Canis lupus familiaris: one gene and its partners. The protein of the gene in region 1 interacts with the protein of each later gene in a biochemical or structural test. Links are inferred from orthologs where the notes say so. Each region holds a gene or a part of one and is shown on either strand. Other genes may lie near its edges.

What was found.
Region 2: the proteins of PICK1 (region 1) and PRKN form a complex in vitro, tested with the Homo sapiens proteins (3 studies listed by BioGRID and IntAct, with this or other methods). The link is inferred for Canis lupus familiaris from reciprocal best matches to the Homo sapiens genes PICK1 and PRKN.
Region 3: the proteins of PICK1 (region 1) and GRM7 form a complex in vitro, tested with the Homo sapiens proteins (2 studies listed by BioGRID, with this or other methods). The link is inferred for Canis lupus familiaris from reciprocal best matches to the Homo sapiens genes PICK1 and GRM7.

The regions. Positions count from the first base shown.
Region 1 is NC_049231.1:27,609,883-27,620,583, forward strand, and holds the start of PICK1 (PRKCA-binding protein), read right to left. Parts: upstream 4,916-10,701; 5' UTR 4,513-4,915; intron 4,353-4,512; 5' UTR 4,296-4,352; coding exon 4,255-4,295; intron 3,160-4,254; coding exon 3,048-3,159; intron 1-3,047. UniProt on the Homo sapiens protein: Probable adapter protein that bind to and organize the subcellular localization of a variety of membrane proteins containing some PDZ recognition sequence.
Region 2 is NC_049222.1:51,314,255-51,324,176, reverse strand, and holds part of PRKN (E3 ubiquitin-protein ligase parkin), read left to right. Parts: intron 1-3,921; coding exon 3,922-4,159; intron 4,160-9,922. UniProt on the Homo sapiens protein: Functions within a multiprotein E3 ubiquitin ligase complex, catalyzing the covalent attachment of ubiquitin moieties onto substrate proteins. Substrates include SYT11 and VDAC1.
Region 3 is NC_049241.1:11,129,725-11,140,434, forward strand, and holds the start of GRM7 (metabotropic glutamate receptor 7), read right to left. Parts: upstream 4,976-10,710; 5' UTR 4,907-4,975; coding exon 4,388-4,906; intron 1-4,387. UniProt on the Homo sapiens protein: G-protein coupled receptor activated by glutamate that regulates axon outgrowth through the MAPK-cAMP-PKA signaling pathway during neuronal development.

The DNA of each region.
Region 1 (10,701 bases):
TGCAAATGACATATCCGATAAAGGGCTAGTATCCAAAATATATAAAGAACTTATTAAACTCAACACTCAAAAGCCAAATAATCCAATTAAAAAATTGGCAGAAGACATGAACACACATTTCTCCAAAGAAGACATCCAGACAGCCAATAGACACAGGAAAGAATGCTCAACATCACTCATCATCAGGGAAATACAAATTAAAACCACAACAGGATATCACCTCACATCTGTCAGAATGGCTAAAATCAACAACACAAGAAACAGAGTGTTGGTGAGGATGTGGAGAAAAAGGAATTCTCTGGCACTACTGGTGGGAATGGAAACTGGTGCAGCCGCTCTGGAAAACAGTATGGAGGTTCCTCGGAAAGTTAAAAATGGAGCTACCCTACAATCCAGCAATTGCACTACTGGGTATTTACCCAAAGAATATAAAAATGCTAATTCAAAGAGATAGGTACACCCCTAAGGTTATAGCGGCATTATTTACAAGAGTCAATATATGGAAGCAGCCCAAGTGTACACTGACTGATGAATGGATATAGAAGATGTGGTTTATATATACAACGGAATGTTATTCGACCACAAAAGAGAATGAAATCTTGCCATTTGCAAAGATACAGATGAATCTAGACAGTATAATGCTAAGCAAGATAAGTCTATAAGAAAAAGACCATATGATTTCAGCCATTTGTGGAATTGAAAAAACAAATGGGTAAAGGGCAAAACAGAGAGAGACACACACAAACCAAGAAACAGACTCTTAACTAGAGAGAACAGGGACACCTGGGGGGGCTCAGTCGTTAAACATCCAACTCTTGATTTCAGCTCAGGTCACAACTGCAAGGTTGTGAGATCAAGCCGCACATCGGGCTCCACCCTCAGCGGGGAGTCTGTTTGAGATTCCCTCTCTCCCTCTCTGCCCCTTCCCCCAATGCTTTCCCCCTCTTTCTCTCTCAAATGAATAAATAAACCTTTAACTAAACAAACAAAAACTTTAGAGAACTGACAGTCACCAGAGGGGAAGGGGGAAACAGGTGATGGGAATTCAGGATGTCACTTGTCGGTGATGAGCACCAGGTGATGTGAGGAGGTGTTGGATCACTAGTATGCACACCTGACACTAACATCAATTACACTAACTGGATGTTAGTGTAGTTAACAACATGTTATGTAGTTAACCATATGTTAACTAACTGGCATCAAATTAAAGACTTGAGAGAAGGAAAGAAAGAGGGCTCCTGGAAGTAGGGGAGCCCCCCAGAGAGGGAAGGGGAGGCACAGTGAGACAGACTCCAGAAAGATGAGGGCAAACAGCTGCCTGAAGAAAGGTAGTGAACGTCCAAAGAGAATGCAAATGGAAGAAACCCGAGAAACCTGTTCAAAAAAGAAAAGACTGAGTTAAGAAAAGAGACCAGAGGCTCCTCAGAAAGTTAACCACAGAGGCACCATATGAGCTGGCACCCTGCTCCCACTCTCAGATACACACTCCCTAAAAATGAAAGCATGTGTACACTCAGAACATGCGCATGCATGTTTACAGCAGCATTCTTCATAACAGCCAAATGTCCTTCAAATGAATGGATGAACAATTGTGGTACATCCACAAAAATGGAATATTCGTCAGCCATAAAAAAATATGCCAACACTGGAATGAAATTCAAAAACATTATGCTCAGTAAAAGAATCCAGACCCCAAAGGTGACATGTCAGATTCTTTTTATATAAAATGTCCAGAAAAAAACAACCTATATAGTAACCAGATTACCCATCTAAAATAACCCTCTGCCTCTCCCCATCAAATAAATAAATCTTTAAAAAGGTGGGGGGGTGTGCAACAGTGGGTGCTATTATTTGACACAGGCCTTCTAGTACTCTCGACTTGTTCAGAGCAAGTCAGATACGCTTTGATAAAAAAAATTCAATTTTTAAAAACCAAATTCTATTATTTTATAACCGTAGTTTGTTCTACACAAACCCAGCCCCCAATGGGTGAGAAGGGGGAGGTGGCAGGGACCAAGCAGGCATGTAGCAGGGGGGCCCAGGCCTGGGCAAGGCCTCCCTAATACCTCCTGGGTCAGAGGAGGCCAAAAGCTCGTGAAGGCAGCACCCAGAGTAGACCAGGCTACATCCCGGGAATCTCTGTCCTCAAGGCCCAAAAGTGACTCTTTTGCAAGATTCTCAGAGAGACAGCAGTTTCCCATCTGCCACCAATGGCTACTGAGCTGAGAAAGTGGGAACAGAGTAGAAGGCAGGTCACATTTATGTCTGTGGCAAGCTTCCTTTGGAGCCTACAGAAAAACCAGTGACTGACCCGTCACAAAGTAAACTGTCCCCACTGCTCAGAGTCACAGCTGATAGAATGTCACCAAAGCAGCTTCATCTACAAGAACCACAAAAATGTTCAGTACCACTGGCAGAGTGTCTCGGGGACATGAACAACTGCTAGGTACAAAACAACATCTTCTACTTCGTATTTATTAAATGCCGGGCAATGTTTGGGGCATTCTGGTTAATCCTCACAGTGACCTACACATTTTACACTCTCACTTGCCAGATGAGGAAGCTGAGGCCCAGAGAGCTTACCAAGTAACTCGCTGCTGAGCAGGGAGGCTTACATTTGGGTTCACCAGGCCACTAGCATCCCATGGACTTGCAGACTTTCCACTAAAATTCACATTCCACTTGCACCAGTACCCCAGGCCGACAGTTTTGTGCATTTGACCCTATGACACATGTTGTACTTGGTGCTGACAGCAGTGAAAAAGCAGGCTGAGATCCTGTCCTCACAGTGTGGTGTCTGGCTAGCAGTGAGATAGAGGACGACGAATGGGCAAACCCATGATTACAGATGGTGAGCGGAGCTGAGAAGGGAAGGAGCGCATTGATACAGCAGAGAACAGGGTGCATCTACTGAGGGGCATGCCCGGGAAGGCCTCTCTGAGGAGTTCAGGCCTCAGCTCCGCAGTCAGGAAAATAAGCCTGCCCCAGGGGAGGGAGGTGGCTCACCCCTTCTAGGACCTCACCCCCACCTCCAAAGCACCCAGTACCTGGACAATATAGAGGCAGGGGCAGTACTGGGCCCCTCCTCCGATGCTGATCCCGATCAGGTTCTGAGCATCCTTCTGTAGGGTCACCTTCCCAGGCACAGTAGGGATTCCACTAGAAAGAGAAGCACATGTGGCCGAATCTCCTGGGAGGATTCCTTAAAGGGGACGAGGAAGGAAGCCCCTGAGAGGCTCCAAGTGCTGCTCAGCTTTTTCTTTTCTCAATTGGCCAAAAAGACAGTGTCTGGCGCTGGCACATGTGCAGCTCTTAGGAGTCCTGCAGATGCAGGATCAGATCCCGGCTCTGCCACTGACCATCTACAGGACTTGGATAAGTAAGTCACCTCTGTGCATCTCAGTTCCCTCAGCCATAAAATGGTATGGATGGAAATGGCTTGCTACTTGGTGAAAATTCTTATAAGAAAGCACACGAAAGGCACTTAACACCAGTCCAGCCCAGAGCAGGCACTCCATGAAAACAGATTCCCCCTTCCCTCTCCTTCATCCTGTCTCTGAGGCCTGATCCAGACTCTGTCCTTCTCACCTTCTCAGGCACAGGTGGAACATTATGGCCACTTGCTCCAGGAAGCCTTCTCCTCTTAAATTATCCATCACCCATCTCTCAGTTGCTCTGCTCAATTACCTCTCAATTTTCAGTATAAACCAGCACTTGTTTATGTTCTGCTGTAAATATTTGCCTCCATTCACTTATTCATTCAACAAACCAGCAACCTACTGATGGTGAGTCGAGCACCATACTAAGTGCTGAGGATGCAGGCAGTGGACTGATGGAGGGCAGATTTTAGTTGAGAGACTAACAATTTCTGAAAATCTGTCCTACTAATTACCTATACTGGGAAGGAAAGTATGTTTACAATACTCCCATTCACCTTCAAAACCTGGCTCCACTGCCACCTCCTTTTTGAAGCCTTCCCTGAACACCCCAATCAAGAGACTGCTCCTCTGCTCTCTCCTTGTAGCCAGGCCATTCTCCATTAGTACCCACGTGGCCCTGACTTGTCATCTGCTAGGGTGTCCGCAGCCCCCTACAGATGGTGAGCTCCTGGAAGGGCAGGGTCCATTTCTACTATAGAACAAGACCTACTTAACCCCCGCTGAGAAGCAAGGGTCTGTGGAGCTGGGAAGTCTGGGGATCTGGAGGCCCCGGGGCTCGTGCATTCCTGGGACTTGGAAGGAACAAAATACTCACAGTTTATCCTCCTCGATGTCATAATCCAAGTCTGCAAACATGGTTCCGAGAGTTGAGGTGGGCTGGCTGACTGCCCAGCTCGGCAGGGGAATGGGGAACTGGACCAGGGAGAGAAAAGAGCGTAGGGTTCAGGGACCCGAAGTGCCTAGATGTCAACCTCCACCCGGGGGATACGGGGGGAGCCGGACCCTCCCCTGTCCCTCTGGACGGTGGGGGTAGTCCCCGAGGTTGGGGGGCGGGAAGGGACGGGATTCTTACTAGGTAGAGGGGGGAGTTCCAGGCCAGGGCGGTGAGCTCACACCCCAGAGCCCGCCCCACGGATCTCCAGGCCCTTGGGAGCCACCTCTGTCGCTCACCGGAAGCGTCGGTCCCACAGCCGGGTCCAGGCCAGGCTGGCACCTGAAGCCACCTGCCGTTCCACCTGTCGGCGGCCGCGACTGTCGCGTCACTTCCTCTTTTACGCGGAAGTCCCGCCTACCTGACCACCCGGGTATTGGCCCCAGTTCTTGCAGACAACCCTCCCTCCCTGGCTCCGGGCTCTCCCAGAGCCAGAAAAGAGCCCAAGTATTGACGGAAGCTCGCCGTTAGCACGAGAAAGCGGAAACAGAGGAAAGGTCTGGAAGGGCCGACGACGCTCAACCCCGCCCTCTGCCCCGTGGCCGCCGCCATCTTGGTGAGGGCAGGGCTCTTCCCAGCTTCCTCCGCGGGACGCCGGGGACCACGCCGGCCGAGCGGTTGCCGTGGCAACGGAAGCATCCTTGGGCGCGGAGGCTTCCGGCGAAGTTCAGTGGAATGCAAACCTTTTCATGTTTTTAGCACCTTGGCCTAGGGTGCTGAGTCTCCTCTACTAGGATGTCAGCCTCCGAACTGGAAGGACCCTTCGAGGCTACTCTCAGTCTGCGACCAGGAAACTGCCAAAAAAGAGAAGAGATTTTGTCCAGAGCCGCCCACCGTTGGTATAAGGTCAAGATCTTGACCCTGAGACTCCTGCCACCTAGTGCAGCGCCCCTTTAACGCCTGCACACTTGTATTCAGTGGCTCTGTTAACAGATTGGGCAAGTTACCTGCCGTTGCCTTTATGTGCCCCCTTTCGCCGTATGCAAACAAAGAGCACTGAGGCAGATGCTTTCTATGGTATTTGGTGAGAGACTCCTCACACCTCATCTCTGTCTTTAGTCCTGAGGAGCAGCCCCCCTGAGGCCCACGGAGGATCACAGCTTCCTTCCAGGGGCGGCGGAGGAAGGAGCCCCACCCCACCCCGCACCCCCTCTTTAGGAAGCCCATCGGAGTCCCGGTAAATGTGCAGAATGCCACAGTAGCGGGGACCTTTCCATGTACCCACTGCTCTGCAGCTCAGGTGACTCACAGGGCCTCAGAGTTCACCATGACCCTGTGAGAGGAGGACATGGGTTGTCAGCCACATTGTGCAGGTAAGGAAACAGGCACAGAGAAGCAGCTTCTCCTCGTCTCACAGTCAGTGGCAGAGCTAGGGCTGGAACTTCCAAACCCTGTTCAGGCCAGGATTTTAATTTTAAAAAGCAGCAACTGGGGCACTTGGATGTCTTAGTTGGCTAAGCATCTGATTCTTGATTTCCACTCAGGTCATGATCTCACGGTCATGGGATAGAGCCCCGCCTCTGGCTCCTTGCTCAACTCAAAGTCTGCTTGAGATTCTCTCTCTCCCTCTGACCCTTCCCCTCCCACATGTGCTGTCTTGTTCTCTCTCTCTCTCTCTCAAAATAAATAAATCTTTAAGAAGAAGAAGAAGAAGAAGAAGAAGAAGAAGAAGAAGAAGAAGAAGAAGAAGAAGAAGAAGAAGAAGAAGAAGAAAACGACACCAGCCTCCAAAGCCAGACACTTTAACAGGAACTGTGACTCCTCCACCCATGACTCTTAGCTCAAGCCCATGTTCTGCCATTTTATAACTGGGTGATCTTGGGTAAGTCACTGCCTGGCTCTGAGCTTCAGAAATCCATAGACCAGGGGAAAATGATCCTCCCAACAGGTACTTGTGAAGGTCAAGATGAAGAGGTCCATCTGACCTGCCTGATTGGGACATTTGCTTTATTGCGGTGTTCTGGAGCCAAGCCCCATGTCTCCGGGGCCTGCTTGTACAGAGAATAAGATCTGCCCCCGACCTCGGGAGGGACTTTCTGCCTGGAAAGATAAGAAGTGCTTACTCTGGTGAGAGAACAAGTTATTTGACCTTTATTTCCCCTCAAATTCATGGTCCAAACCTCACCCCCTTAATTGGCTGGGACAGGTTTCCCTGCTACTAGGGAGACCCAGGAGTTGACCCAGGAGACGCCCTCCACTGATGAAGTGGTTTGTAATATTTTCCCACTAATAGGCATTACCAAACAATCCAATTGTCTTTCCTTGTTTGTCACAGTGACACCACCCATTCATTGATGGCTTCCTGGCATCCCCTGGAAGGTGCCATGGGTTATAAAGTTCATACAGAAAGAGAATTTAAGGAGAAGCAGTTTAGAGTTTGTCAAGATATGAGCCCTAAGCCCCAGTTTTTTTAAGATTTTATTTATTTATTCATGAGAGACACACAGAGAGAGGGGCAGAGACACAGGCAGAGGGAGCAGCAGGCTCCATGCAGGGAGCCCTATGTGGGACTCAATCCCGGAACCCCGGGATCACGCCCTGAGCCGAAGGCAGACACTCAACCACTGAGCCACCCAGGTGCCCTAAGGTTTATCCATTCATTCCTGCAAGAAAGTATTTGTCTACTTTAATGTGTTAGCCCTGAATGCCTTAGTGCCAGCTAGTCCGGGGCCTTCCCACTGCCTTTTCTTTTTTAAAGTTTTTAAAAAATATTTTATTTATTTATTCATGAGAGATACAGAGAGAGAGCGGCAGACATAGGTAGAGAGAAGCAGGCTCCACGCAGGGAGCCCGACGTGGGACTCGATCCCGGGACTCCAGGATCACGCCCTGGGCTGAGGCAGACGCTCAACTGCTGAGCCACCCGGGCGCCCCATAAGCCCCAGTTTCGAAGGAGAGAAATCCTCCTCGGACAATGTACAAGCATGTATAAGTTAATCAACTCAGAGTTGGCTCAGGGAAGCCACGAAGGGATTTCAGAAGGCCATACATAATTCATGACCAAATGAATGATCCAAATAACTGTTTCTGGAACTTACAAAAAGGGGTAAGATTTGTGAGGAGAGACTGTCTGGTAAGGCTGCCTGGAAGAGGTGGGTCAGAACCAGGCCTGGAAGATGGGGAGGATGAGGCAGAAAAGAGATCAGATGAACTTTTTGGTTTCCTAGTGCAGATAAAAGTTATGTTTACACCGAACTGCAGTCTATTAAGTGGGCAAGAGCATACATCTAGTGCAGCCTGGGTGGCTCAGTGGTTTAGCGCCGCCTTCAGCCCAGTGATCCTAGAGACCCGGGATCGAGTCCCATGTCGGGCTCCCAGCATGGAGCCTGTGTCTCTGCCACTCTCTCTCTGTATCTCTCATGAATAAATAAATAAAAATTTTTTTTAAAGAGCATACATCTAAAAAGGCAAAACGTACATACTTTAATTAAAAAATAGTTTATTACTAAAAGAAAATGTTAACTATTATCTGGGCTTTCAGTGAGTCATCATTGATTGTAATCATTGATCACAGATCACCATCACAAATATAATAAAAAATTTTGAAATATCGTGAGAGTGACAAAATGTGAAACTGGGAGGCAAAGGGAGCAAATGCTGTCAGAAAAACAGCGCAGATTTGCTCAGCGCAGGGTTGCCACAGAGTTTCAATTTGTGAAAAACACAGTATTTACAAAGTGCAAGAAGGGAGGTTACCAGCATCTCCTGCAGAGCCTGGCACGATCCCCGACTGTGGATGTAAGTGCCCTTGAGATGGCTGTGGCTTGGTATGAGTTGGGACGTGTCCTGGGCCCTGGAGGACATGGATGGACAGGGAGAAGGGGTGATAAAGACCTGATCTCCCGACAATGACCTCAGCTTCCTCCATGGGGCTGGAATCACCACCCTCAGTGTAGGTCCTGAATTTTGGAATTTTGGTTTTTAACAAACAGCAACCTGTAAACCCGGAGGCTTTGTCATAGACTGCCGCCCCCGCTCCCACCCTAGATAGGCCCCAGCTCCAATCTGAGCTCTGCTGTTTTGTAGCTGGGGGATCTTGGGCAAGTCACCCTTTGCCTGGGAGCCTCAGCTGTCTGTAGAATTAAGGATGATGATCCCTCCCAAGACAGTAGTTAAAGAGACAAAGATTAAAAGGAGAAGCAGGTGGGAAAGTACCTCGTGAGTGATTCACTCGGCACAGATGACACAGGTTTTTATTGCCATGCCTCACTGCAATTATTTTGCCCAACTGCTTCAGAAGGTGGAGCCAATGGTGCACTAAAGGGCTTTAGGATGCTCGGGCCCCTGCATCATACTCTTGCAGGAAGTGTCTTACGTGGAGATTCTGGGGCCCTGTCTCAGACCTATTAGATCAGAGTCTCCAGCTGGATCTATGGGCAGACACGTTCCTATGTGTCCTGAGTGAATCCAGCAATTCCATCTACAGAGTGATGGCGCAAAAGGGATCCCAGCCCATTCCATCAGAGGGTCCCCTCCCCCAAGCCCCATGGCCCTGGCCACCAAGGAGTTTCACTCAAACCACCTATTAGCACGTAACTCTAATACCACGTTCTGGTCTATAACTGCACAGAACCCCTGCTAGACCAGCCAGTGAAGGTGGGGACATCTCTACGCCCCTCATTCCAGCAAGAAGAAGCTACCAAAGGTAAGACCTACATCCAAAAACCAAAGATTTGTCATTGTCTGTCAGGGGGAATGTAGAGGCCGCTCTTAGGCAAACAGGCTTGAGAGATGGAATGTAGAAAGGGGCTCACAGTGACGCCCTGTCTGAATGCAGGCAGGCCCATCAGGCAACGCTCCTCAAAATATCCATAGGCCCTAACTGACCAATGGGCTCCTTACAACCAGGCACAGTCACCAAAAAAGGGAAAATTCCATATGTTCTCACACCTCCTCACCTTTCCACTTTATATTGTTTTTTTTTTTTAAGTTTTATTTATTTGAGAGACAATGACAGAGAGAGAAAGAGAATCTGAAGCAGACTCCGCCCTGAGCACAGAGCCTGATGTGGGGCTCTATCCGACAACCCTGAAACCATGACCTGAGCCGAAACCAAGAGTCAGATATTGGGCAGCCCCGATGGCCCAGCGGTTTAGTGCCACCTTTGGCCCAGGGCCAAAGTGGAGACCTGGGATCAAGTCCCACGTCAGGTTCCCTGCATGGGGCCTGCTTCTCCCTCTGCCTGTGTCTCTGCCTCTCTCTCTCTGTGTCTCTCATAAATAGGTGGATAAAATCTTAAAAAAAAAAAAAAAAAGAGTCAGATGCTTAACCAATGGAGCCATCCAGGCACACCACCTTTCCACTTTAAACACAGCCCCCATCTACTGCCTCCTTGCAGACAGCCTCTCCTCTGCTGTCCTGCCTGCCGCTTCCTTGTGGTGTGTTCAGTAAACTTCTATCTCCCTTTAAAAAAAGAACAAACAAACAAACAAAAATAGATCAGAATCTCCAAGGAAGGGCAGGTCTTGGAGGCTACATTTTCACAAAGCTCCGTGGAATGGTTTCAATGCCTCCTGCAGTTTGCAGATCATCGTGTCACAAGCTCAGAATGGACAGTGCCCTTGCACATTCGGGTGGGCATTTTAGGTCTCCCAACAATCCCTGGGCCCCAGGGGTCTCGCCATCCAGGAGGAGCCCAGGATGTTATGTGGGCCCAGAGAAGGCTTCCTGGAGGAAACGACATCCCAGCTAAGTCCTAAAGAAAGAGCTGGTGCTCCCCAGGCTGAGAGAGGCAGGGTGGCACAAGCAGAGGGCACAGCTTGTACCCCAGGGCAGCCAGGGGTACAAGGCACAGCCCAATGTGGCAGGGTGACAATCAGTGGGGGCAGTGACAGCCATCCCAGTCCGGGTGGGAATACAGGGAGAACTGCCACCTCTGCCAGAGGCAAGGGTAAGAGGTGTCAGCAGGGCCTCAGCAGGGAGCTTTGAGCACCTACTCAAGGATGGATAGGATTCTGGGGCTCGAAAGTGGGGTGAGGACATCCACCCCCTTCCACAGGGCCTAGTCAGGGCTGGCCCTGGCTCTCACCCTCCAAGCTTGCTCCTCCTCCTCCTCCCTCCCTCTGCTCCTGAGTCGCTCCAGGCAGGCGAGCGACCTCTCACCTGGCCAGGCCCTGCCACTGAAAGTTGTGTGACCCTGGGAAAGTCCCAATTCCGCTCTGGGCCTGGGTCCCCTCCCAGATACCCACCCTCTGTTGCCAGGCTCAGTCTGGGAAAGCTAGCCTCCTGGGCCCCACATTCCTGGAGAAGTGCTGCCACCCAGTGGCCTTTGGGAAAATCGCCTCCCGGAACCCTGGAACCCTCGACAGAGTCCCTATTTTTCCACTCGAG
Region 2 (9,922 bases), on another chromosome or scaffold:
CAGTCCCTGATGGGGCAGAGGCTCCGTCCGATTGGCAGCAAACAGCAAGCCCAGTTGGGCAAATAACTACTTGTTTTGTCCACATTGAACAACTTATATCACTTCCTTACTTGTTGAATTAATAAATTAAACCACAAATATGATGTGTTTCCTCTTTGCCAGGAAATATTCTATTTATTGAGGAAACAAAGACAGAAGGGATTGTTTTTGCTCAGAGGAAGTTTAAAACCATGCTGGAGAACTCTGCTGTCTTTTCTGAAAGACACTGAAAATCTCTATCTTCCAAAGCTAAGGAAGTTTTTCCTATACTATGAGAACTAAATATTATTTGGGGCTTTGAAATGACTAGACAACTAAACTTTATCCAATTTATCATCTCTGGAATGTGTTATTAGTAGGGCTTTGAACTCTACCAACGTGATGGTGTAGTTATACCATCTGGCAGAGGAACTGTTTCCGAGATCAACACCGCTTTCTATGAGAGGTCAAAGAATTAAGCAGCTAATGGCCTCAGAACCGTGGATGGAGACCAAGAGAAATATGTTCTGTACATATCACTGTAGCTACTGAAATCTGCTTGGGATCTTCATATCTTCCCGTTCCCCTTTCCAGCTCTAGCCTAGGCATTAAAAAAAAAAAAAATCTCGAAAGGAAAATCTCAGTTTGGGGATTTCTCCCATGGTTGTCAAATTTTAGCAGGCTCTGAGAATTTGCTGAGGTTCTTCATGTGTTTCATGGCATCTGAGCATATAGGCATTTTTTTTTAACAATGTCTAGTTCACAGGAAGCTGGAATGTTGTCAGAAGGATTGTCACATCTATAGCATCTTCTTATTCTGCCTTCTATGCCCATTTTCCAAGTAGGACTGTGTCAATGGGACAGCCTAATAAGATTCAGAGGCTTTATTGACGTACAAGATCAGAGGCCAGTCTTGTTTAGTTTTCAAAACTCCTGAATGATGATACTGATACTAACACCTATGTATTTTGAGTTATTGCTGTGGCTTGGGGTCTGCCCTCCTTCTGTTTCCTTAAATCTTCAGAATAGTCTTCAAAGTTTGTGGTATTGCCAATGAAAAATGTAGAAACCAGAGCTTAGGGAGGAAAAGTAATTTGCCAGAAATTATACAGCTAATAAATTACATCTATTTGGCTTTAAATTCCACGTTCTTTCTTCCACAGCCTCTGGTTCCCCACAGAACATTTTAGGTATAGAGCTTGTGACTTTTTATATTTGTTACATTCATTCATTTATTCATTCTTTTTTTTTTTCATTTATTCATTCTTATTTCTGCCCCCATCCTTTGACTTTTCCATCGACGGGCATATTTTCTCTATCTGGTACAAAGCACTGTGTGAGTCATTCTGATAAGTAAAATACAAGTATGACCCAGTTGCCACTCTCAAGAATTTCTAAGTTGAGTCTGAAGATCAGACAGACAGACAGACACCCCCCCCAAAAAAAACCTCTACACTCTGACCATGGCAGGAAGAGCATGACAGGCAAAGATTGCTGACACTCAGGTGCAGAAGAAAGGCATTACTTTTATCTGAAGCATGTAAGTCCTGAAGGTAGAGAGAGGAATTTTATCTGACTGAATTCTTGAGCCTCCTTGAAAGGAAAACACTATGGACAAAAACCTCAGGGGATGTTAGGAGACTCATTCTCAACTGTTTCCTCCTGTTGCAGAGCTCCTGTCCTCGCATGTCTGCTCAAGTGTACTCAGATCTTGGTGTTGCTTTATTTGAAATGACTTAGGCTCAGGGCTATGTACAATTCCTATGGTCCTGGCTGAACGCGGAGGCTGTGATAAATAGTGATAGAATGTCTATCAGATCAATGAGAATGGAAAATAGATATTGTCAGCTATTACTGCCTAATGAACAACCACAAAAATCCCAGTGCCGTACATCAAATGAGCATCTCCTTCATGTCAACTGGGGGTCCGTGGTGCCAGCCTGCCTCAAGCTGGAAGGCTTTTCTCAAGCTGTAGGTACAGCTGCCCTGGTCCTCTCTGTGGTTGAACACAGGTCTGTGTCAGATGTACACATGGGGCCCTGGCTCAGGAGGTGGAAAGCACCCAGAGGTGCTCTACTGCTGACCACAGCAGTGGTGCAGATACATTTTAAGGCCCTGGTTCAATCATATTGGCCAAAGCCAGTCACGTGACTGAGCCCAAATCAAGTCTAGAAGGAGAGATGGGAGTGAACAGCTCTGATGAAAAATCTCATCTCTCATATATACGATGAAGGAGATGGAAAGGAGATCAAATCATGAGATAGGTGATCTAAAAAAGAGAAAAGTCTAAGCACACCTGAAGATGATAGTAAGATGTCAGATTCTATACAACAGGTAATAGTGAGACATTTGAAAAGGTTATGTCGCACACTCCAGAAACTTGTACATAATAGATGATAGAGGGAGATGGGAGGTCAGGGAGCAATTGCACAGCTACTATAATGATGAAAGCTTAAAATGGGGAGGTGGCAATTGAGAAGTAAAGGAGCAGGAAGATATGAAGGCAATTTCTGAATCAGAATTAGTTGCTCTTGGCACCTTGCTGGATATAATGGTAGGGTGGAGGAGCCCACAGCGGTGATTCTACTGAAGCCATCAGAAGACACAGAAGGATCATCAGAGTTGTAGGTGATGGGGGAGGGCCTGATGCCTGTGTACCATGGAGGAGGGCAGTGCTTCGACAGAAATGGGGACATGAGGTGGGGCAGACTAAGATGGAGATTGAGGACACAGTGACCATGGCTGAGTAGGAGCCACCCTGAGATTCACAGAGCTGTGAGGACAGGTGGCAAGGAAAGCAAGCATGTCCAGGTGACAGAGGCCTGGGGCATGGGGTACAGAAGCAGAAATGGTACTGAGGACCAGAGGGCATCCCAGTGATCTTCTGAGTCCACAAGGTGAGCCTGCAGGAAATGCTGCTGCATGTTGGGCACCCCTCATAAATGTTTGCTGGTGATGGTGATGGAGCTCTGGAGGGAGGATGGGGGCCAGTTATGACTGTTACAAGCATTGCTGTGTTTGCATGGTGTTGTTTGAACATTGCTACGATGAGAGCATGATTGTGGGTAGTTTATAGATATTGAAATTCAGGGATTGATCGAAAGAACGAGGTCCTGGCTCTGCAGGAGGAGGACTGCAGACAGATGAGTGATTTTCCATCCAGTAGATATTCTGAGATGAGGCTTTGATCTCAGGTAGTCTTGTTTTAGCCCTAGCAAATTATCTGACTTCTAACTTTAATTCTAGTAAATTTTACAGTCTTCTGTTCATACACATCAATATATTGATGCAGAGCATTTTTTCACATATTCACTGATTTTAATTGTGATCTTGGATGGATTGGCCTGCGTATGCTGTTCACTTGCTTCCCCATCGCTGTGGTGATGTTTGCTGGTGACATAGGGGATGCGTGTGGAGTCTACCATAAACATGATTTTAAATTGTAGAGAGAAATGCTCTGTAACTGACAATAACCAACCCTCTGTTTATAAAATGGAGATGAATGCCAGTATTTATATCTGAGAATTGGGAGGACACATCACTTCAGAAGTAAATCAATTTTAAAAGAATTTTGCTTTTTGCTGTGCTTATGTGTGCAGTGTGGTACGTTTTTGCCCTATGAGCTCTCGTGTTGCTTTGACTGTTACCCTAGTTTTCTGTTGCTGTGTTCCATGTATCCCCACGTTTTGGTAGCAGGCATGTGTGTGAGTGCCGTGGCCCTGCTGACCCTGTGTCTGCCTCTATCAAACACACATGGCTCTCAAGTTCCATGACTGCTGCAACCTTGGGCCTAAACAGATCTTAGCCTCTTCTGTGGACTCTGGGATGGAGGACAAGTCAAACCTTACTTGGCATTTTAATGATTGCACTTTCTCAGTCTGTGTCTGCCTTGTTCCCACACAGAGCTGTGACCTGGATCAGCAGAGCATCATTCACGTTGTGCAGAGACCCTGGAGCAAAAGCCAAGAAAGGGAGGTCCCTGGAGGAGATGGCCCACGGAAGGCAGTGGAGGGCTCAGACAGAGAGCCTGAGAGCTTAACGCGTGTGGACCTCAGCAGCTCTGTCCTCCCAGCCCACTCGGTGGGTCTAGCTGTGATCCTGAGCGACGACTCTGAGAGGGTTCTGCCAGCCAGAAGACCAGGTAATTGTACAGATTATGTCTACGGCCAATAGAGCACTTTGTGTAGCCGACCTCTGCAGGGAAGGGGCTCAGTATGTACATATTTAATTCATGTAAGGTCTGGATTACTAGAAGGAGGCATCATTAGAAGGATGGCACTTGGCTATAAAATTTGAGGTGAATACATTTAATAAATACAATAGAACAGGGCTTTCAAATTAAGAATGAAGGGAAGGGCTGGAGCAGGTGTCAGGACCATGGTCATGGTATTTTATTTTAGTTATTTTTAAATTTAATTAATTAAGATGAAGCAGGATGCTGGAAATATGATGCATTGAGCTAGGGTCAAAATACATGATTAAGGTGCATCTATATCCCTCCCAGGTTTTGCCTTTCTTTTTCTATTTCTTATTTTCTTAAAATACATTTTGGTTTATTGTGTTTCTGATGATGTAGGGAAATTTCAAAAAACAGAAAGAGAACTTTAGAGGTAACTTTAATCGTGTGCCAGTGCTAAGACATTACAATGTCAATAACACCCGCAGTGTGAACGATGTTTCTGTCTTTCCGTGTTACACCCCATTTTCAAAATGCTTTTATTTAGCAAGGATGGCGATTCCTTTCTTATTTTGCCAATATTAATGTATTTCCCTTAATCTTTTATTTTTATTTTTTTTTAAGATTTTATTTATTTATTCATGAGAGACACAGAGAGAGAGAGAGAGGCAGAGACACAGGCAGGGGGAAAAGCAGGCTCCATGCAGGGATCCCGATGCGGGACTCGATCCCAGGTCTCCAGGTGAAGGTGGCGCTAAACTGCTGAGCCACCCAGGCTGCCCAGTCTTTTATTTTCCGATCTAAATAGTCAAAGGTAGGGGTGCCTGAGGGTACCTGGGTGGCTCTGCCTTGAGCTCAGGTCCTCATCTCAAGGTCTTAGGATCAGCACCCACCCCTCTTCCAACTCCCTGCTCAGTAGGGAATCTGCTTCTCCCTCTCCCTTTGCCCCTCCCCACTGCTGTGCACTCCCAGGTTCCTGCACACACACAGGCTCTCTGTCTCTCTGCCTCTCTGTCTCAAATAAATAAATAAATAAATAAATAAATAAATAAATAAATAAATAAATAAATCTTTTAAAAAAACAGTCAAAGGGGGCAGCCTGGGTGGCTCAGTGGTTTAGCGCCTGCCTTTGGCCCAGGGTGTAATCCTGGAGTCCTGGGATCAAGTCCCATGTCGGGCTCCCTGCATACAGCCTGCTTCTCCCTCTGCCTGTGTCTCTTCCTCTCTCTCCCTGTGTCTCTCATGAATAAATAAATAAAATGTTAAAAAAAAATAGTCAAAGGTATAACAGGATTCTTTTTGCCTGTGTGTGACAGAAAGCACAAAATAATAGCAATGACTTTGTAAAGTATAAGTAAATTTCTCTCCTATATACAGTAAGTGAGGATTATATGAGACATAGGAAAAAATGTAATACATGGGGAAAAATGAGATCCATCTAAAACTCTGCAGCACCCATGTGATCCAGAATGGAAAGTTAATATAAGTATTGGACTCCGATTTATGGTGCATCTGATGTTTCAAGTGGAGCATACATAAAAGCTATTCTAGAGAACATTCAGGTGGCATGGCAGGTCGCTTCCAGAGGGAATCACCCCCTCTTAAAGGGGCACACGTCATCAAACATTACAATTCAAACAAAGAGACATTCTGTCTTGAGTAGAAGTAAGTATATTCCATAAACTGGAAGATTGGTTTCCCCTGAAACTTGAGAAAATAAAGTAACAATTTGAAACAGAACACAAAACAAATACTTTTGATGTTAATTAAAGCATAAAAGAAAAAAATTGAAACCTAAAACAGAATACAACCATAATAGAAGAACAGCTATTAAATAGAACATAATTTTAGCTATTGGAATGAAAAAAAAAAAAAAAAAGTCCTCAGTGGATGGGTTAAAACAGCAAGTTTGGCAATGCCAAAGAGAGAAATTGTCAACTGGAAGATAGAAATGAAGGAGTTGTCCAAAGTGGTACAGGTTAAAATGTAAAACAATGCTTTTAGGAGACTGAAAGTTTGGAAGAGATGGCCAAACATATTTCTGATGAGTTTCATGACAGGAGAATACAGAATAGAAAAGAGACAGTTTTCTAAGAGAATACTGAAAATTTTCCAGTATGTGTAAGTCCTCTGATTCAAGAGTACATGGTCCCAAGCATAATAAAACAAAGAAACACACAATTGGTCTTAATCAAGATGAACAAAAATAAATTCACTTTATAAAGAAAGTAAAGGACCAAGGAAAAAAAGAAGATATTAAAACCAATTGAAGAAGGAGATTACTTATAATAGAACAGTAATTCGAATGGGTCCTGGCAGGAATAATAGAAGAAAACAATATTGGAATAATATCAAATGGCCAAGGGATACACTTGTTAACTTATGGCTCCAAACCCAACAGGCCTAACAAAAATATTGCTCAAGAGTGAGAGGGAAATAAAGACACTTTCAGATGAACACTGAGAGTATTTGTACTCAGTGTGAAAGAACTGTTGAAGTACTCACAACAGCGAGGAATGGGTTTGAACTCAAAGTGACAAAATGGGATATGAGAGATGATGCTCAAAAATACAAGGATAAATACAAGTTTAAATGAACATTGGTATAAAAAATAATATTGATTAATTTAATGGGTACAAAAATAGGAGAGACCAAAGTAGAGGATAAAATGACATTTAGGAGAAAACTGATCAATTCATGCGGAAATATGTTCAAGGTCTCATTAATGATCAGAGAAATTAGTATTACAACAATATTTTATCAGTGTAGCCTACCTGATGGGCCAATATTTAAAAGTCTGACGATACCAAGCATTGGTTAGTATATAGGGCAAGAAGTACTTTCATACTTGATGGTGGGAATGTCCATTGATTTACCAGAGATAGCAACTCACAGCTTCATAATAATTAATGAAATTACAGATCTCTACATATTCTGGAACTCAGAGTACATGAGGAGACATCTATATAGATGACCATAATAGGACCATTGGAATTTATGAAAAGATAGCAATAACAGTTGTCTTTAAAAGTAGAATGGATAATCAGCATTTTATTCTTATAATGGGTTGTAAATTGCAAAGGAATGTTCAGTAAGATACAGTTTATGCAAAATTTATGTAAAATTTCAAACATAAAGTTCAAAGCAATTATATCTATTGTTTATAAAACGATAACCATGTAATATATTTTGTCTAAACAGGATATGTTTGAGAGTTAAAATACATTAAATATGATTAAATTGTAATTATACACAATTATTTTTAAATATTTATGGATCAACAAGTTAGATTTGTTATTTTAATAAATGAATGAATTAGTTCTTCAATAGGATTTAATTTCTTTTCAAAAGTTAAAAAATTCATTTTCTTTAGAGCAAAATCAAGCTTTTATATTTATCATCTGAACATTAATAATACCAGCAGAATAATTATCCTTTGTACTTACACATTTTAATCAGTTTCTTAATATATCTGACTCTGCCATTTTTGTCAATGGTATCTACCTGAAGACTAAAAACAAATCTTACTGTTTATTTTATTATAAAATTGTCTTTAGTCATCTTCAGTTTTATTTTATTATGAATAATTTTGAAATTATTGTCACCTTCAGTTGATTGTCTCTCTAGACTATGATACTTTTAGTTAAGAATTTCTTTTTTGGGCAGCCTGGGTGGCTCAGCTGTTTAGCGCCTGCCTTCGGCCCAGGGCATGATCCTGGAGTCCCAGGATCGAGTCCCACGTGAGGCTCCCTGCGTGGAGCCTGCTTCTTCCTCTGCCTATGTCTCTGCCTCTCTCTGTGTGTCTATCATGAATAAATAAATAAAATCTTAAAAAAAAAGAATTTCTTTTTTCACTGTAGGATTGAGAGAGATATAAGTAGGCTCTCAGAATATTCTGCTAAATGTTTAATATTCACTTCATATTTTTTAAAGGATTTTATTTATTTATTCATGAGAGACACAGAGTGAGAAAGAGAGGCCAAGATGGAACTCTCTGAGGTCTATGCAAGTATAAACAGTCTTATCATGGAGCACAGAGTCATCTGAAGGCACTAGCCATAATGGTGTTGTCATTTACCATATTATGTACATTTATAGGAGTTTATCTAATCTCTTGGTTGGGTTGAAAGAATTACACATTTCAATTAAAAATACGAAGTGAGGGACGCCTGGGTGGCTCAGCGGTTTAGCACCTGCCTTTGGTCAAAGGGCATGATCCTGGGGTTCTGGGATCACTCTCTGATCATCCTGTTCTCATTAACCCACTGACTGTTAGCTGTATGTATTTTTGCAGGGCTGGAGACTAGTCATGGTACCACTTGCTGGGGCACCAGGTGGCTGACAGGGGTGCCATCACACACCCCCAGACCAGGAATGAGCTCTCCTGGGGCCTTGCATGTGGTGTGAGGGGGATGTGCTAATTATAGAGAATCTGGAAGGGATAGGGAAAGGAGAGATGCATTATACCAGGCCAACTTTAAGATTTAACTATGTTGGGGCACCTGGGTGGCTCAGTCAGTTAACATCTACCTTCTCGTCAGGGCACGAACCCAGGGTTCTGGGATAGAGCTCCCCCATCAGGCTCCCTGCTCAGTGGGGAGCCGGCTTCTCCCTCTTTGACTCTCCCTGCTTGTGCTTTCTCTCTCTGTGACAAGTAGATAAATAAATAAAATACTTTTAAAAAGACTTCTTAATTATGTTAAAATTGAACTACGAAGAGTCATCCCTTCATCTTCAGATCTGGGAAGAATCATCTCCTTTTCAATCATCTCCTTGTACCTTCTACCACTTTTATATATGTACTTCATTTCCTTTGCATATACTTCTTCTCATTGAGGACAGGATATCTGTCCAGTTTATTACAGTTTTTCCCCCAAGTCTCCTAGAAGAGTGACAATAAACATTTACTAAATGATTTAAAATTATAAATGTAGTTAAGATTTTCATCATAATTTCTGTATACTTAACTTTTGGAAGCAATACTTTATTTAAAATTATTTGACTTCACTTCTTAAAGCATCTTGGCAATTTCAGTGTTGGAATGAATGTAGTACCTTGATTGGGGTTATTTGGAACGATTGTAGGGGCAGTGCGCTTACATGATTATTTTTCTTTACTAAAAATGACAGGTTAGAGTTTCTGGAACAGTAATTCACTCCAGTGTGCAGAAGAGCCATCTGTGGATACTCATTCTGTGCTTATTAATTCAGTTGGCTGGGGGTAGAGGCCCAGAAATCCCAGTGCTGACTACATTCTGAGAAACTATGCCCTACAGCAGGGATTTGCCAACCTTACAACTGTGAGTCCTGCCTGGTGTCCTCAACTAGGTGGGAGGAAGAAGGCAGGTCAGGGAAAGAGAAGTGGGCAAACCAAATCAACCCTTGGTAGCCAGAGCAGTTGCATACTTAACTAGTTTTACATATTAATTAACCCTTCTATAACATGTTTCATTTTGGGAAAATAAAACCCCTGGTTACAAAATATTTTAAAAGCTGTGCCTGAAAGAAAGAATTTGAAGAGAATTAAACTCACTTTCTTCACGTTTCTAGGGTGTTCAAATTAGACAAGGAAGAATTTAGGTGCCAAACTTGGGAGATCTCTAAAGGGCAAGTAGCTAGGCTCTAGCCACATGTGTGGCAGAAACAAATCGGAACTTCTAAAACCATGCAAGGTGGGTTTTTTTATTATTATTTATAGATGGCAAAAGATAGCTTAATTTGAGAGACC
Region 3 (10,710 bases), on another chromosome or scaffold:
TAATGGCAGGATTGAGATTGGCGTGTACTTTGTGTCATTCAGCTATGGGCTTTTAAGCCCATGACACAACCCATATATGCAGGAAATGGTGCATTTATGATTCAATATCCTCTCAATGCTTATGGAATTGAAGCAAAGGCATCCATTATTATATTTGAAGAGAAAAATCCCTAAAGACATCTTTATATCATGGGCAAGTATCATAAAATATACATGTAGAGGTATCTTCAAATATAGTATGTGCCTGTCTCTATTCCTTCCCTCTCTGCTCTTTTCAAAAATGCCCCTTTAAAAATTGCCCACTCACCATCTGTTAGGTAAATTTCCTGAAACACAGTAAATGTGGAGGCAGAGATTGTTATAGAGCCTATTCCAAATGGCACTGACACCTGTATTTATGAAATTTTGAAAAGAGTAGGTTAGAGTGGTTTTTTTAAAAAAAGGCCCCACTATAGTAATACCACACCATTCTAGGTGCCCAGTTCTATCCAATTACATAAGATAAAAGGAGAGAAGAGAAGGAGCAAAAGAAAGATAGAAAAAAAACTAGGCCCATATATCTAAAATGCCCCCAAAGTTGGAGATTATATTCAAGCTTCAATGAACAGAAGGACAACATTTAGAAATTTACAAATGTATTTCACTGATGGTACAAGGTCCACAGGTGTAGATTTGCAATATGCCCCAACAAGAGTCAAGTTGGCTACTTTTCCCATCTAGTTGCTTTTGAAGAAACAAAGCAACTGAAACAGACACCATTCAATTCCAAGTCCATAGCTTACACCATGTCACTGGCCATGAAATATTGTTCATTCAGAGTCAGGATGTAGCAAGAGTAATTTATACGCTCAGAGTGTTTGCTCTCAAGTCAGTAACAGAGAAGCCCTGAATAAAAACATGACCATTACTTTCCACTCTAATATATCTTACTTATAGCTCATAAAACCGTGGTCAGGGGAGATTTATCCTTTGGACACCACATTATATAAGCTCTCCACTTTAAGCCATCCCCACTCTGTGATTATTTTTTAAATACGTTACTCATAGTCAAAATTAATTTACATTTAATCTTTCTTAGCATTAGGAGAGTATTATTTTGTACAGGCTCAGAAACAAATCTCCAGAAATTCTCCCTGATGCTTCTTTGAGGCTAAAAATGCATTGCAGGGTGGTTGCAGTGACTTAATTCTAGTTGGCAGAGCCCTGGCCACACACTAATTTCATTAGCCTCAAATTCCTAGATTTGAAAGACCCAATGGACATCATTCCTATCCTCTGACATGTCACTTACTAATCAATTCAGTGTGATACAGAAGAAGGGGGGGTGGGTGGAGAGGACTTGCTCAGTTCATAGCTTTGGTCTTCTACGCCAGCAGGCAAATGAAAATTCAAAGTCATAGGCACTATTTACATCTGAGGAGTCATTCTTGCCCAGATCCTAATTCTCAGGAAAGAACTTCATTTCAGTTTGTGCTGGCTACAACAGCATAAGCTACATTTATCACTGTTTCTTTACTCTTTGCTGTCCCACCCCATCAAAGTGTGGAGCACTCCCCCATTTAAGTCACCAAGTATTCCTTCACCCAGCCTAGAAGCTTATCTCACAATAAATTTTTATCTCAAATGATAGCTTTGGCATGGTCCCCGCAGCAACCTACAGGGCCTGGGAAAAGAAAACTCAATTCTCTGGAGAGCTCAGAATTCAATCATTTAGAGAAGCTTCTTTTATATAGGACAATCTTAATTGAGCTGAACCCTGCAATCCCAGAGAAGAGTCACCTACCGTTCTTTCCCGCTTTCTCTCTAAATTGATTGTGCCTTTGAACAATGGGTCTGTGTACCACTATTCTCTCTATTCATTTTGCAGGCTTATAGAGGCTTGGAAACTGGGGATTAGACTGGCATGCCAGGAGCTCCTATCATCACGTGCAAAAAAAAAAAAAAAGGTTGAGGCTATTGGAATCTCTATCTGTCTATCTATCTATCTATCTATCTATCTATCTGGGCAATGGTTGAGCAGGATGCCCACACCAACAGTTTTACCCAGCTCACAGCACAAGCTACAAGTTGGTGCATTCCTCCTGCCACCAGCCTCTTCTCCATAAATGCAGGTGAGAACTGGGGGCTCTTTTTCCCTCAGCTGTTCAATCCAACATGAATAGCTGCAATTTGCAAATTAGAGGAAAATGACAGTGTTTTCTCTGAATGGTTTTGGTCCCAACCCACACTGCTAACACTGGCATTCGCTTCCTTTCCTTCCCAGCCCAGGGAACGGGGGAACTAAGCATAAGGCAAGCCATTTCCCGTTCTTCTCACAAGAGCCTCAGGTTCACACACCAGAGGAAGAATCAGCTCCCCCTGGAATCTTTTCCAGCAAACTCAGTCCTTCAGCCGAGCTTGCGATCCCTCCCCTCCTGACTTTAGCATTTCACTCTTTTTTCCAACAGGCCCATCTGCAGCACTGCCTGTGTGCTGAGTGAAGGAGAAACCCACACCAAAATAATTTAAAAATGTGAAACACCAAATGTGCCTTCAACCCCCAGGGCTCAGGGCTCACAGGGCTGTGAGTCACCCCAGTGGTTCTCAGGTCATCTCTGCTCCCACTTTCTCCTGCAGCACTGCCCTCTGAAGTTGCCTCGCTTTAAGCACAGACAAGAAGGAAACGCTTCTGGGTTTTGCTTACATTAATCCAGCCTCTTCCCAAAGCATCATCTCGGAATTAAGGGTGCCCCCAAAGCATTTGCGGGTTTGCAAATATCTAGCGAGTCCCAGGATGGCACACTTAAGAAGGGTTAGGGGTGCTCAGATCAGAGGGGCCATACCAGGCTGCAGCCTTGAGCAGACACCTCTCTTGGTGCACACACAAACTTCACACTCCTGGGGGCTGAGGTGGTGACAGCCCGAATCTCGCAAGGAATCCCCTGCAGAAACCCAACACCCTTAGGGAAAGCAACCAGAAGGGAGCCAGTTCTTTAGATGTGGGGAGCATCAGGGCACCAGGGTTAGCTAGCCCATCTGAAGAAGGGATTAATCGAGTTTGGGCACGATCAGGAAAGGGGAGAGCTGTGCATTAGGAAAAGACCATCTCAAGCCACAGATGAACAAAAAACTTGAGGGTGCGAGGGGGGGGGGGGGAGACAGGGAGAAAAGAAGCAGAAATTGAAAGAGAGGGAGAGAAAAAGAGAAAAACAAGGAAGAACGAGAAAGACGGGAGAAATAAGGACAAGGGAACCCACGATCACACAGACCCTGTGACTCGATTTCTTAAAATCCCAAATCCGCCCCTTTGTACCCAATGCAGCAGAGGAGCCCCGGGGCTCGGAAGGCAGGAGCAGGCGGAGAGCGAGCACTGCAGTAGAACCCACCGCTCAGCCGCCCCGGATCCGCCTTCCTCCCATTTTCGCCGTTGCCCTCTGGCGCCCGGAGCCGGGGGGCCGCCGGCATTGCTCCGCGCACCCCAGAGCCTCCCTCCGGGCGCCTTCTCGCCAGGCTCCGGGAATCGTCCGCGGAGCGGCGTTTGGGGGCTGGGGGGCTGCGTTCGGGAGGTCGTGGGAAAGGATGGGCGGGGGCTGGAGGCAGCGAAAGCGATTTTGTTTCGCAGTTAGCATGAGCTCATCTCTGGGCTCTGAAGTGGCAGGAGTAGAAAGCTGATCGCCCAGCTCCTGCCGGCGGCCGGACTGCAAATGCAATTTAGACGGTGCAAACAAGTGCCCAGAGCAAATCCCCCGGGGGTCACGGCTGCGGTGGCACCTCCCCGCTTGGGGAGCGTCCCCGTGCCTTTCGCCCCGCGCCCTCGCGGAGACGGGCTACACAGGTCGGGGGATCCAACCCGAGGGAGATGGGCAATTAGCATCCACACACGAAGGCGAAGACCTAGCCCTCGGTTTAAGCTGTGCCTCCCTAAGCTCTTCTCGAAATTTTCCAAGGGAGCTGCGGCTTGCGGGGCGGCTTGGGGCTGGGAAGCTGGGGAGTTGAGAAATGCCCAGTTTCGAGGCGTCTTCTCATCTTTCATATTCCATGAGCCCAGCCGGCTCTCACAGGAGCCTGGCACTTTTACAAGCCTGGTTTTTTGGACCATATTTCACTCTAATGCAAACCCATTTAAATCATCGCCTTGTTTTTCGCAGATTGCTTCTTGTAAATGGGGCCATAAATCCAGGATGCCAAGCCGGATGGAGTGGAGCGCGGACAGGGGAGAGACGGAAGGGAAATGAACCAAGCGGGGAAGGCACCTCCTCGGGTGGGGTGGGAGGGATTCGCCGGATCTCCAGGGTGGAAATGCGCGAAGGCTGACCTGACCCCGCACCCCTGGAGTCCCAGCCAGCTTTTAGGATCAAGTGCTCGGGGAGCTAAGGCGCGCTCTGCCCCGGGGGGAGCGCCTCCCTACCTGAAAGAGCCTCAGGATGTTGGCTACCATGATGGAGACCGAACTCCCCGAAGCCCCAATCACTCCAACTACTTTCTCCGGCTTGACGAAAACCGGAGGCTCGCCGTTGGTGCAGCGCACGTCGGAGGTGTCCTTCTGGATGAGCGCCTGGACGAAAGTGAGCGACTGTTCGAGCGCGTAAGTGTCCCTGGAACAAGTGTCCAGGATCCGCGCGCCCAGCGTCACGTTGGGCAGCAGGTTGGGATCGCTGTTGATCTGGTCCAGGGCGTAGAGCATCGCTTCCAGCCTGTGGATCCCGTTCTCCCTCTTGATGTCGCCGCAGGGCACTCCGCTAGGACCCTTGGCGTGCACCGGGAACAGCCCCCCGAGGGTGACGTCCCCCTCGATCCGGATGGAGTGCGGGGCGTACATCTCCTGGCCGCGCGCCGCCGCCGCCAGCGCGCACAGGAGCACCTCCAGCACGCAGCAGGGGAACTTCATCAAAGTCAGGACGCGGAGCAGCTTCCCCAGCTGGACCATGCTGCTCCCGCGGCGGCGGCGGCGCTGGAGGGGACGGTGGCGGGCTCGCCGGGGTCCGGGCCCCTCGGGGTGAGGTCCTCCCGGGAAGCCCCGAGGCTCCTGCAGGCGCGGAGGGTGGGGGCCCCCGGGGAGGGGCGGCGGGAGAGGACCGGGGGTCCCGCGGCGCCTGCCGGATCGGGGCTCCGTGCGCTCCCGGGTTCGCCGGCCGGCGCGCCGCGCTCGCGCTCCCCGGCTTGCCGCTCGCGCTCTCCAACAGCCCAGCACTGGGGAGAGGGCAAGGATTGCTATCGCTTTAAATGGTCGCTCGGCTCCCTCTCCTCCTCCTCCCACTCCCTCCCCCCTCCCTCGCGAGCTCCCCGACTCTCCCCACCCTTCCCAGCGCCCGCCCTCCCCACTGGTTTGCATCATCACGCAGGGAGGGGTTGCGTGCTGAGGTGGGGGGATGGGTGGGCGGCTAAGCCGGGAGTGCCTCCGACTGGGAGTTTCGCGGTCCCCGGGGAATCTAGGGATTGCAGGTCGCAGGCCAGGCGTGAGCTGCTTCTCCGCTCCCACGCTGGCAGCCTCCGGCGCGCGCCTGCACCCACGCGCACCCGCCGGGCACGGGCGGCGGCCAGGTCGGGAGGGCGCGATGCCGCCTCCTGCTCTCACCCTCCCGTCGCGAGCCCCGGCTGGCCGAGCCCGAGGGCGCGAGGGAGGCGCGGTGAGGCGGGGATGCCGGGGGACCCGCTGCCTACTCCTCGTAGATCTGTGCCAGGCTTCCGTAAGAAAAACACGCATATACACGGGAACCTGATTCATGACTTAAAGAGCCTTTACCCGGAGACTTGTCCGGGGCGAGGCACTGAACCGGCTCCTAGGAAAACACGCCGAGAAACGCTAGGAACGTAAGCGCACCCTGGGTCCTCACCGGGTCCTGGGGCCAGGGCGGATGGCTCGGGCTGACCGCGGTCTCTAGCAAGTCTGTGGCTGAAAGCTCGGACTCCTCTCTCTCCCTCCGTTCGTCGCCAGAGATGTAACACCCGAGAACTCTGCAGAGCACACTTTTTGCTCTGGCGCTGACAGGTGCAAGGCTCCCTCCTACCCATTTCCAGCGATGCTTCTGGGCTGGTGACAGGTTTCCGCGGGCAGGAAGCAGCAGAAAAGAGGTGACAGTAGGAGGAAGAAAGAGAGGCAGGTAGAAGACTCCCCAGTGATCCAGATGCCTTTCTATCTTTTTTTTTTTTTTTTTTTTTTTTCTGGCTGGAGATTTGGTAGCTAAATCAGGATGCAGTGCGGTTAGGAAGCTGATTTTCAAAGGTGTCCCCTCCTGCAGGCTGAGACCAAACTTGAGCTATTAAAGCAACAGGTGGCCCTGGTTCTTATATAAAAGAAGGATAATGTCTCTGTCCTTGGTACCAGGGTGGTTTCAGGCTGGTTAACTCTTGCTGAGGTTTTCTGTTGGAGGGCAGCAAAACTATATTATACAGATTTGAGAGTGACGAAAACCAGAAACAAGGCTTTTTGTTGTTGTTGTTGTTGTTGATGTACTAAAGAAAAATGTCCTTGGACAAAAAGCAAGCAAACAAACAAACAAAAAAAACCACACACACACACATACACACACACAAAACAAAGTCAGAAGATAGTGGTTTGTCTCTGCCATCAACTACCTGTTTGCTCTTGTCATTTCTGTTTTCCTATCTGGATTTTAGTTTCCCTCTGTAAAATGATGAGATTGAACTGGGTGCTCTCCATGGCATCTGTTAACTCTCAAATCCTCTTAAAACAAGCCATGTCCCTTTGGCCATGGATCTCTCTTTTAGGCCAATATCCTCTATTTCTTTATGTGTAAGAGACCTTTTTTTTTTTTTTTAACTCCAAAGTACATTACAAACATATTCTAGTACACAGGACTTTTTCTTTTTCTTTTCTTTTTTTTTTTTCTTGTCCATCATCTATTCCTCTTCCTTCTAGGGATAGTACAGTCCATCAAATTCTTTTTAGATAAGCTCCTCCTCCATGTTTCATTACCTATGATTTGAGAATGGAACCCACTTCTTATAAGTTAGTGCTGATGACTGGCTACAATGATGAGTTAAAGGATGGGAATAGAGCCCAGCCAGAGCCATCCAGGACCAATCCCTGGACTTTTGTTGTGGTATGCAGGACAGTGACACAAGGTTACCACTATCCAACAGACGATATGTGAATGAGTTAGAACCAAAAAACAAAAAAACAAAAAGACAAAAAAAAAAAAAACAAAAAAAAAAAAAACACTACCTCTTCCTCAAAATACTTCATGTGTATCTTTTAGAAAATATACTATTCTTATTATCTAAGAACACATTGCACAGTCTGTTTCAAGAGAACAGTGCTATAATTAATGTACTAATACTGCCTCCATGTACAATGTGAGTATCAATCAATCTAGATGGGACTATGCTACAATCTTACACTGTTATGGCCCCCACTCTTTCCTGGCATTCTGGAGCTGTAAGGATATAAGTGTGTAGCTGTGCCAGGAGCTTCCACATAAACAGAGAGACATTTGAATCCTATCATAAAAGACAAAAGAGGGGAAAGGGAAAGGAGAAATTGGGGTGGGGGTAGAGAGAGATAGGGGCCTGACTTAAACATCTGGACTCTTAGATCCAGACATGCCAGCAAGATTGCCTCTGGATTATTTTTTTCAGTTTTATACTATTTTCCTTCTGTTGTTTGAAGCCAAAAGGATCCTTTCTAATTCACCTGCTGTAAAACACCAGCTCAAAAAGGGTGGAAGGCCTGAAATGGGTATCTTAAGTTACCATCAGCTAATTTGGAAAGGGAGAGAGAAGCAAAGCAATAGGAAGGCATACTTGGGAATACAAGTACTACAATCCTAGTTTGGAGGCATTGGTGCCCCAGGCTGTATTTCAGAGATTATATCCTTATATAGTTTTTAATTTAAGAATATTTATTAGGAACTTGGTGACAAAAAAAAATATTTAGAAAGTTGGGTAACAAGTAATGTCGCCTGATTTTTCACCTGCCCAAGTCCTAGTCCGTGTTGTACTTTGCCATGTCCATTTCATATCCTGTGATTGCTCAATAAATATTTCTTGGCTGACTACTAAATGTTGCCTTACTCTATGCTCTCTCTTTGCTCTGCTCATTCTCCCCAAACATCTGGTAGCAATCATTGTCTTCTTTTTATTGCAGTCATCTGTGTTCATGTCTTATTTCCCTTGCCAAGTTGTAAGATCCTTGAGGGCAAGGGCTGGTATTATTTATCTTTTTCTCCTGGGCAATGTTTGGAATGGTGTTTTGTACCTAGGAAGCACTCATGTGTTGAATGAATCAAAACTGGTCTTGCCATTTCCCACTGCCTTTATTTGACAATGACTGAAACATAAAGTGGGCAGAGCAGAAACAGTATCAGATAAGTTGCTGCCCTCTTAGTCACACTGTGCAGTTTCTAGAACTTCAAAGATAATTAGTAGATTTTGAAATAATTGTGTCTTACAAAAACTGCCTAGGACTGAAATACTCTAATCTTAAAACTCTTGATCAACTATAAAGGGAGGCTTCCATCGGTTCTTCCTGAGTTAAGTGTTAATTCTTGGGTCCTTCTCATAGGCTGATTGAGGAAGGGCAGAAGCCAGACACTAGCACCACTTGAACTGAGTGGAAAGAGTGATCTGTTACCAGAGAAACAGGGAAGTGATGCTAAGCTTGCCAAATCTACAGACATCCAAGCCTTACAGTATCTAATTCATCTTTATATCTTTAGCTACAGAGCACAGGATCTGGAACCTAACACGTGACACAGTATGTGCTTTTTTGAGGTTATATGAACCAAAAATCTCTGTGTAAGACTAGTTGATTTAAAACCGGACCAGTCATCATTCTAGCGCCATATTTAATGGGAAGAGAATCTAGTTTTAGGCCCAAAGATCATACATTATAAAGTGTTTTCACAGGCTTGGTTTTTGTAGTCCTTAACCTGTCCTCACCCAAGGATTAATAAAAAAAATGTGTAACTCAAGTTAAGGGTTCAGTCCTAATTTTATCTTTTTAACACTGTGTTTTCTTAATCATCTTAGTTTTATTTGCTTTATTATTTTCCTTTGCTCATTGTATTTCTGCAGAAAATAATGTCTCTCCACTTTCTCCACTTCCAATTAATTCCCTCCCTATTTAAACCGAATTTGTAATTTACAAAGTTGTTCCCCTTACCTGCTGCTATTCCTGCTGCTGCTGCTGCTGCTAAGATATTCTGGCTCAGTTTCCATCCTTCATCTAAATCTCCATCCACAGTTGTGTTTTTGTTTTTGTTGTTTTCTTTGTTTGTTTCTTTAATACAATCTTACATCTGCATTGCACTACTGAGTGGAGGACACTTTTTAATGGAGAGAGAAAGAGAAAGTTTTCTCTTTCATCTGTTATACTTTCCTGTCATATTTATTTGTAGTAGATGTCTTATGCCACCCAGCATCTATTTCCTGATCCCATCCTTTAAGAAATTCTAATTTTGTACACCCCCTACGTTGGTAGGGGGAGAGATTCCTGCTGTTCCTTTGGTAACATCCACAGCCATTTCTTTGGACAAGAACCCCTTTCAGCCTCTATGAATCAAGATGGAACTATCAATCATAATGCCTTACCTACTCAAACTCAGATGTGGCACACATCTAGTGTTGACAGAGGTGAGCTCTCCCTTCCCCTGATGAGGTCAAAAAATTCAAAGATAGGTAAAGAACCAGAGATTTGATGAATAATATTTAAAGAAGTCAATTCTGTTCCTTTTAACTTCTTATCCATGAAGATAGAAAGTGGGGATTCTCAGTTTTTCCTACCATATGAACAAAGAATTCTCTCTCTGAGAATAAACCAGTTCATGCAGGGAAGCAGATTAAAGATATAGGGAAAAAGGTAGAACCATGATGAGATCATTTGGAACCCTAAATCCAGCAATGTCTGGATTAGTCACCCAATTTATCCCATTCTCTGCTTAGGCTAATAATTCAACTTAGTTGGGTATCTCAAAATTGAGGATGCTAATTTAAATCATTACTGCTTAAAGGTAAGCACATAATTAAAAGAAAAACAGCTACTGATTCTTAAATACCCATAAGAATAATCTATAGAAAGTTTTGAACTCTGATATGAAAGTATATTAATTTTAGAGTTAGCTCTTGATGGGAATCCAGACCTTGACCATATGATACCAAACTCCAAATGACAGTGATTTCTAATGACCTATTGAATGAAAAGTAAAATTAAAATTTAAGAAGGCTTGAGTATAACTAATGGGTTTTTAAATTATCTTCAAAAAACAATTTAATGTTCATCTCATGATAAAATGTATAGCAACAGTACAAGTTTTTGCATGTGTGTTGAACATATAGGGTGTGTTATTTTACCTATCTATAGCTAGTAGTAATTTTAAAGTAGTAGAGTTTGCTTATTTGGAAGAATCACATCCTTATATTCCCAACTGCTTATCTATGAGCAATGGTGCATTTGAACCTAACAGTTGAATCTCCTGGATTTCTTGACTCAACCATGACCAATGTGTGAGGTTTATGCTGTTTTATTAAGCAGAATGTTAGGTGTTAGAATGGGCAGTACATGTGCAGTGACTCATTTAAACTCTGTGCAAAACCTATAAAAGAGTCCTCCTTTCTGGTTCCCAAGTACCCCTTTTATTATGGTATTATTGTACTCTTTAACCCAATCTACCAAGGTATACTATGTTCCAGTAAATATTAACTGAGTGTTTTATTTTTTATAACAGCTCTATTTTCACAATCCCAGAACATAGCCATCTAAATGAACTTTTG